Linked DNA regions of Daphnia pulex. The protein of the gene in region 1 interacts with the protein of each later gene in a pairwise test. Links are inferred from orthologs where the notes say so. Each region holds a gene or a part of one and is shown in the gene's direction. Other genes may lie near its edges.

The links. The genes of interacting proteins can lie anywhere in the genome.
Region 2: the proteins of BTB/POZ domain-containing protein kctd15-like (region 1) and SUMO-conjugating enzyme UBC9-B interact in a two-hybrid assay, tested with the Drosophila melanogaster proteins (2 studies listed by BioGRID). The link is inferred for Daphnia pulex from reciprocal best matches to the Drosophila melanogaster genes twz and lwr.

What each region holds. Positions count from the first base shown.
Region 1 is NC_060026.1:14,341,974-14,346,892, reverse strand, and holds the start of BTB/POZ domain-containing protein kctd15-like, read left to right. Parts: upstream 1-1,774; 5' UTR 1,775-2,212; intron 2,213-3,503; 5' UTR 3,504-3,571; coding exon 3,572-3,609; intron 3,610-3,952; coding exon 3,953-4,404; intron 4,405-4,474; coding exon 4,475-4,534; intron 4,535-4,617; coding exon 4,618-4,919. UniProt on the Drosophila melanogaster protein: Functions with the transcription factor TfAP-2 to regulate octopamine neuronal signaling pathways that control behaviors such as male aggression, male mating, and the initiation of feeding.
Region 2 is NC_060018.1:632,621-635,622, forward strand, and holds SUMO-conjugating enzyme UBC9-B, read left to right. Parts: upstream 1-1,274; 5' UTR 1,275-1,427; exon of another isoform or gene 1,428-1,521; 5' UTR 1,522-1,530; coding exon 1,531-1,596; intron 1,597-1,671; coding exon 1,672-1,755; intron 1,756-1,868; coding exon 1,869-1,986; intron 1,987-2,048; coding exon 2,049-2,193; intron 2,194-2,263; coding exon 2,264-2,342; 3' UTR 2,343-2,502; downstream 2,503-3,002. Other genes in the region: receptor-type guanylate cyclase Gyc76C-like, read right to left, coding at 2,942-3,002.

The sequences.
Region 1 (4,919 bases):
TTTTTTAAAAATAATAATTTTCTTTTTTTTTTTACTCAAATATTTGATAAGTGATTCACAATTTATTAGATGTAATCATTCATTTCGGTCGATGAAGATTTTTCGGGATTTTTTATTGGCTTTTGTTGAATTGATTCGGCGTGAAACGACCCCCGTTCGTTTTTAGCCGCTGCGGTTAATGACCCGTTTCCTTATTTTTAATGTATTTTGGTCTTTTGTAAAAGAGTGTTTTCTTCTTCTTTATTTGGCACGAAAAAAATGTTGAATGCAAAAGGAAAGAAGAAAGAAAACCTGTTTTATGATGAAGTTCGTTGTCCAAAGTGACTCACTTCATGGGTGTGTGTGTGTCAATAATTTTTCGGGGCTCTCAATAAATTGGCGTTCAAAACGAGCCGTTTCTTCTGAAAATATCAACTAGCCCCGAGCTAAAGTGAGCGGTCGTGATTTGCGCAACAACAAAGTGAAAGGAAAATGTATTGACAATTAATGCGCGCGAAATTTGAATTTAGTTTTTTTTTTCAAAATTCCCGTTTTCCCCACACAACGTCTATATACACAGTTAACGTCCAGTCTATTGTGTGTGCAGCAGCCAATGTATGCGCACACACACCTATTTAGAGAGATCAACAGCCCCAGCAGGTGATGTGTGATTCCCATCACTAACAAAAAATGCCACGTCAGAGATGGACCGACGGACCGACGGACAGCATTCCTGAACGTTACGGTGCGCTTTGCTGCCGGCGGCTTCTTTAGACACATCCCACTGGCACTTTGTTTTTTTTTTAAATGCATTTCACGGAATGTTATTTTTCGAACATTTTGAAATAATTTTTTTTTTCCTCCTATTTTAATTCATTTAAAAAAAAAACTTAAAATTTACCCCATTTAATTTTGATTCTTATTAAAAAAGGAAAACAAACCTTTCGGTCGTGATCATCCGCTATACCTCAGTCGAGTCCCGGGGCTCTCGTCTCACCCTTTCGTTACAAGTTTCGCTGCTTATTTTCTTCATTTAGCTGGAAGCTAAAAAGAAAAGAAACGAATGTGCCAGTATATCTTTCTCTCGGCTCCGTGTGTTTGAAGATGAACGAGCGCGGAGTAACTCTCCAGCGCGTGCGCCATCAGTCCACACCGCCCAGAGGCTTTTGACAAAATAAACCGTGAAGACATCTGGAAGATTGTGTGTGTGTATATACGGGGGGGAGAAGAAAAAAAAAATTATTAAGAGCCTACAGCCATTTTAATTTAATCCAATTTTTATTGCGTCAATTTACGGACGTAAAAAAGAAAAAAAAGGTAATTATTTATTTAAGGCTTTCCCAAAAGAGGCTGGAAAACACTTCGTGGTATTAAAATAACTTTCATTATTACGACAGTGAATGCTGTCATTGCATAATTTATGCAAATGTGATGAACGGCTGTAATGCTGATTGAAATAGACCCTCAATAATCATTTCCCCCCCAGAAATTAGAATATTCAAATTTCGCGGGTCAACGAAAAATGAACGATTATCCGTGAAACAAAAATAATTATTATTCATCAGAAAATCGCAATTCAAAGTTTAGTAGCCTATTTATTAATTTTCCGTAGAGTATAAAAATCAAAGGGCAACTTTATTGATCCACCACGTCATTTGAGTTCCTAGAAATGGCGGGTGGGAACATCATCAACTTTGCAATTTCCCAAAAAAAGAAGAAGTGGGAGGGGGATATCTACTAAAAATAAAAATAATAAAAAAAAGGAAAATAAATTTAACCGGTTGTAGTTGCAGAGAGAGAGATAGGTATATATCCAACATCACTGGAAGCTGTGCCGGAGGCTTTTTCTCCATCTCTCTCTCTCGTCCGATATATTCCAACCTATACCCTTTGCTCTACGGAGGCACTTGAGGCACTTTTTTCCAGCTAAAAAAGAAAAAAGAAAAAAGAGGTGGACCCCATCATGCAGCAGCAGCATCTGTCCAGTGCTCCAGGCATCTCCTATAGGATCCGCCAGCTAGGCACCGCAGCTTTTCAAAGACGTTCAGTCTCCGTCGAGCGTCCGTCCGTGAAACGTGCGTGTCGTTTTGACACTTGCGTCAGCTCATTTTCAACATTTTCGAAATTGTTTTTAACCGCAGAATAAAGAAACGGATTTTCCCTCAATAATGGACTGCTGCTGCCGGTGTTGATTACTGGATGATTATTGAAATTTTCCAGATAGTATAATTAGGTAAGTTTGATTTTTCAATTATTATTTCTCTCGGAATAATCGTTCAAGCGGATCCGCTGTTTTTAAATGTTTTCGATTCTTCCTGCGGCTGTACAGTTTTTTTTTCTTGATTTCACGTTGTGTATTTCTTCTTTTATTAGTTGGGAGAAAAAGAAAAGAAGAAAAAATCACAAAATTATCAAAGGTATTTGCCTGCAAGGGTCAGCCCAGCAAAGGCCACGGGGCATCGACAAATTTTTGTTTTTTCTTGTCCCTTCTCTTTTTTTATTTTATTTTTCTGCTTTGGGGATATCACCTGATTTTTGCTCACCCCACCTGGGCAGAAAATGTTATTTTTTTTTAACGGATCGGAGATTTATTTTTATTACGGCGAAAACACACGCACGTCATATCATTGGCGTGTTGAAATGTCTTTTGTTTATTTTTCTTGGCGCACCTTTTAGGAAAAACTGTTAAAATCTCCTGATGACGTCATAACAATTCTAGATTGGGGTCAAATGAAATGTGCGATTTTCTTTTTGATTGTTACATCCGCGTGACATTCGATATCCGCGCACCTGTTGTCTTATTCTATTCAACAGTTTGCACAAACTAATTTTTAAAAAGTAAACGGGGTTGATTAGATCATCATGACCACTCGATTATTAAGATCCCGTTTTTATTTAAATTCTAGATGGGTCGTTATTTTATGATTATTGTTATGGGTGTTGTGACCTCGGTAATCGAAAAGATCAGTAGACACAAAAACATCCAATCGTTCCATTTTTGGAAAACAAATGAGTGCGGCCCTTTTTTTCCCGTTTTTTTTTTAAATTCCCGCAGGTCGTCCGTGTCCAAGAGGCAGAACCTGAAACCATTTGCTCGCCCTCCGCTATGGGTGGATCTAAAGGATATGGTTAAAAGTTAAGATATTTCGAAAAAAGAAAAAGAATATGTAGGTAGAGAGAGATTGGTGCCGGGCTTGGCCGCGAGGCAAGTTGGAAACTGGCCATTTCTGTGTGGGTACACACACACATACTCAATCCGAAAGAAAATCAAATAATAAAAAAATGAAAAAAGGATTTTTTACTTTTTTGCTTTGCTTGAACGGTCGTCAGGGGAGGAAATGAGAAATCAAAATGTTATTACTTGTTCTCAAATTGATATCAGTCTCTCTGTCTAACGGGGTTGGCCTTAGGGTATTAACTATCCTTTTAAAATGTTTGGTTATGTGATGATACCCCGTCATCCGCTACAATAATAATCCATATTCCGAAAATTGATTTTCCTTGTTTTTTTCTTTCTTTCGTAGAAATTTCAAATAAATTTTCAAATAAAAAAAGGGACGGACGTAGTGGATCAAAAAGTCCGGGCAACAACATGCAGGTGGAGAGAATGATCGGCAAAGCGCATTCCAGGTAACAACATTTTTTGGAAAGATTATTTTTCGGATGAAAAATAATAGAAAAGCATCCGGTTATTCCGGTAATCCGCTTACCTGTATAAATAAATCAGAAAATTTAATCAAAATTTGCTTGACATTTTAAAAGTTCACGGTTCAATTGAAATGAAATTTTTTTCAAATTAAATTTAATTCATTTAAATTTGAGCGGGATTTTCAAATTAAATTTAATTCATTTAAATTTGAGCGGGATTTTCAAATTAAATTAAATTCATTTAAATTTGAGTGGGATTTTTAAAATTTTTCTTGGATGATAGATAAACTAATTAGAGTTGATGTTAATTTTAACTTTGTGATAGGCTATTATCTCCGAGTTTATCTCCGGCGACGTCACCGACGTTGAGCGCCGTGTCGTCACCGGCTCCCCAAACTCCGACGCCCACGACGACGCCGATGCTCCAGGTGATCTCTTCCAATTCGGCTTCTTACACGCCCAAATTGGCCGGCATCCCCAGCGTAGCGGCGGCGTCTCGTTACACGGCGCCCGTTCACATTGACGTCGGCGGGACCATCTACACGTCGTCGCTGGAAACGCTCACGACGAGATTCGGCGAGTCGCGACTGGCCAAAATGTTCAACGGCGGCATCCCCATCGTCCTGGACAGTTTGAAGCAGCACTACTTTATCGATAGGGACGGCCAGATGTTCCGGCACGTCCTCAATTTCGTCCGCAACGGAAGACTACTCCTCCCGGACGATTTTGCCGATGTGGAACTTTTACTGGAAGAGGCCAAATATTACGACATCATCCGTAATGATTATTCTTTCATTTATTTTAATTTAAATTGTTAATTTTTCATAAATTTTTCTTTAAATAATAGCCATGGTGAAAGCGTTGGAAATGTTGCGGATGGAAAGACGGACGCGGAATGGACAGTACGGTAAAAAAATAAAATAAAATTACTGTTTTAATTTAAGTTAATTTTGTTTCTAAATTTTTTGAAATTTGAAAATGATTTTCCAGGTGATAAATTGTACAACAGCCACCAGCACAACGGTCATCCGGCAATGCCGAGTTCCAGTCCGGTTTCGGGGTCCCGTTGTTCGCCCGTTTCTGGCGGGATGAGCGTGACTGGTGGCGTCCGGTTACGTTCGGCTGTTTCATCCAGCAACCGGATGGATCACCAGCAAAATTCACCCGGCGGAGGCAGTAGCAACGAAGGCGGTGGCGGAGCTCCAGGTGTGGCCGGTTTGACGTGCCGGAAGGATTTGATAGCCGAAGATTCCGGTTCGCCCGGAGATGATTGCAACAGCCGCTTGGGTTGG
Region 2 (3,002 bases), on another chromosome or scaffold:
TTATTATCAGCTCATTTTAAATCAACATTTTGATCTTTAATTTATTGATAAAATATCATTATCATAAAGAAATTTACTTTCCACATACCTGCTCACTTTGGTGACAGTAATCTCCTTTCATGCAACGCCATATATTTGCATTCAAACGTGCGAATATGTGAAGGGAACACGAAGCTTTCAAGACGCGATTCCCCAGTACTCATTGGTTACGCCTAATAATAAAATTATAGTTAGTAATCTGAAATAAAACATTTACAATTATGCTCTATAATATGATTGACATTTCTCTGTAACAGCCAATACTGACGAGGAGTTATATTCAAAAGATTTTTTTAGATATGGACATTATTCTATTACTTGACAGTTAACTTTCTCAGAAGCATCTTCCTGAGCCCTTCAGGAGTCATTTGTTATTCAGTGCAATGGTAAAAATAAAGACAGACTCACAACAATATTACATAGCACACTACGTTTCCAAGCAAGAAATTAGTTTAAAAACTGGCACATGTAATAATCTTTGAACTATACAAAATAGTGATTCAAGCACTATTGTTTTGTGAAATCACCAATACATCATATCTAATGAGTATTTAACAGGATATTTTCCGCTTTGAGATACCCAAGTATGTTTCATTCCCTTCCACTTTGGCACTAACACATTCAACCCTTCTATGCGAGAAGTACCTAGCTGAAACAACCATAATAGGGAATAACAGATCTTCATTTAATAAATTTAGAGTTTGTGACCTAATATGACAAATTAACTGATGTTTTCATACCTTTCTGAACATTCTATATCAATTTTGTAGTTTCCCCATCCACAAAGTTAAACTGAACTGAGGCTTTAGGATTAGAGATTATATCATTCTTAATTCATTCGAGACATGGTTGTTTGCACCTTTTTTCGTTTTGTCTTCGTGTGATACCTTTGTGGTTTGTCACTAGTTGATTCACGTGTTCGAATATTCTGGAAGCATTACGTAAACGACGCTTGGCTTGTCTCGAATGTTGAACGATCAAAGCTACATGAGATGGAAGATATCAATGATTTTTTTTAACACTTGATTTTTCAATTTGGAATTTAAACAAAATACAAGAACTTAAGATGCATGCCTGTGTGACTCACTGCTCTGTTGTTTTTTGAACCATCTGGGCGCCATCTTTCATAGGCAGTGGCAGCATAGCCAGTTCATTTTTAATTTTAGTTGATGAAAACTAAAACTAAAAATGCTTATGCATGCTACAGCCAAAATGGTTTGATTTCATTGAAATCCATATTTTACATGCAAATGTTTCATCATTTATTCGTTTAAATCCCCAAATTAAATTTTAAATTGATTTGTAATTATTCGAATTACCTTAAGGCAACCCTGGCAATAATTGTACGAAACTACACAGCTAAATTATTTGGCAGCCGTTGAAAAAAGGTAACTATTATTTATTTAAGAGCTGTTGCATCTTGCTTTCTTCAGTCATATTCACACTTTCTTATTACATCACACTGAAATTTTTATTCTCTAGTGACCAATAATGTCCGGTATTGCTATTGCTCGACTTTCTGAGGAACGTAAAGGCTGGAGGAAAGACCATCCCTTTGTAAGTTGCTGGTTTGCCAAACGATAGTTGTTGGGTTGTGTGTGTTTGATTTGTGTATCTTTGCGTTGCCTTTAGGGTTTTGTTGCCAGGCCCACAAAGAATCCTGATGGAACCCTCAATTTGATGAACTGGGAATGTGCTATTCCAGGCAAGAAATCGGTAATGAGTTTTACACTTAAAGATCTTACTTCACATTGGTGTCAGATATACTTACCAAATTCACTGTTGTTTGAAGTAACAATATTAAGTGTAACTTGTGCATACATTTACAGACTCCCTGGGAAAATGGATTGTACAAAATCCGTATGATTTTTAAAGATGACTACCCCTCTTCTCCTCCAAAATGCAAATTTGAGCCCCCACTTTTCCATCCAAACGTCTATCCATCAGGTTGAATCAAATGGCTATTTGAGTGTTTTGTTTTAGCTAACCTTTTGGCATTTAATATCCAGGCACAGTTTGTCTATCATTGTTGGATGAAGAAAAGGACTGGAGACCTGCAATTACCATCAAACAGATTTTGCTTGGAATTCAAGATCTCCTAAATGACCCCAATATTAAGGATCCGGCTCAGGCAGAAGCTTATACTATCTACTGGTAATGATTTTTACACCAGTAGACAACTTGAAAGTTTGGATTGTAATATTTCATTTGATTATTTCTCCAGTCAAAATCGAATGGAGTACGAAAAACGTGTTAGAGCACAAGCCAAGGCTATGGCTGCCACCACTGATTTGCTGTCTTAATTTCCCAAGTAAATCCAGCTGTCAAGGAATAAGTTAACTTCTTTTTCTTTTCCACGTGCTCTATTTGTTTTTTAAAAATTCTTATTGTCTTCATTTCAATACTTACTTATCGTCCAGAAAACATACTCCGATCTGAAATAAAACGCTAAGTAAGGTGTAACACTTGTTGACCTTTTTTTTTTTCAATTACGTCACTTGACTATTTTATTTGGTTGTGACCTACTTTGTTGATATGCGTTTTATCTGGCGAATATCTGATTATGAAGACCAAACTTCTTTTAACTACTAGAATTCATCAAAGGCTCTCTTACCTGATTAAAATTTGAACTAAATGGGTTATCGATGTACAAAGTGCAAAACAAGGTATGTAAAACAACAACCGATTTATCACAATATTTTCAGCAGCGACAATATTACAGATACACTAAAATCAAAGAAAACATTCCGACTTGAAATCGATTAAAAATCTTAACCGAGAAGAATCGGAGATCGGGTATGGCATTTTCAAATGGCGAAATATACGAATCACGAAACAAGTAAAGCAAATTTGTCATCATGTAAAAAGACTGTGGAGGATGCAAGAATAAGGAGGCGCAATTTCACACAACGCTTTCTCTGTCATCACGGTGGAGGTCGGAAAAGTCCTCTCCCGTCTGCGGA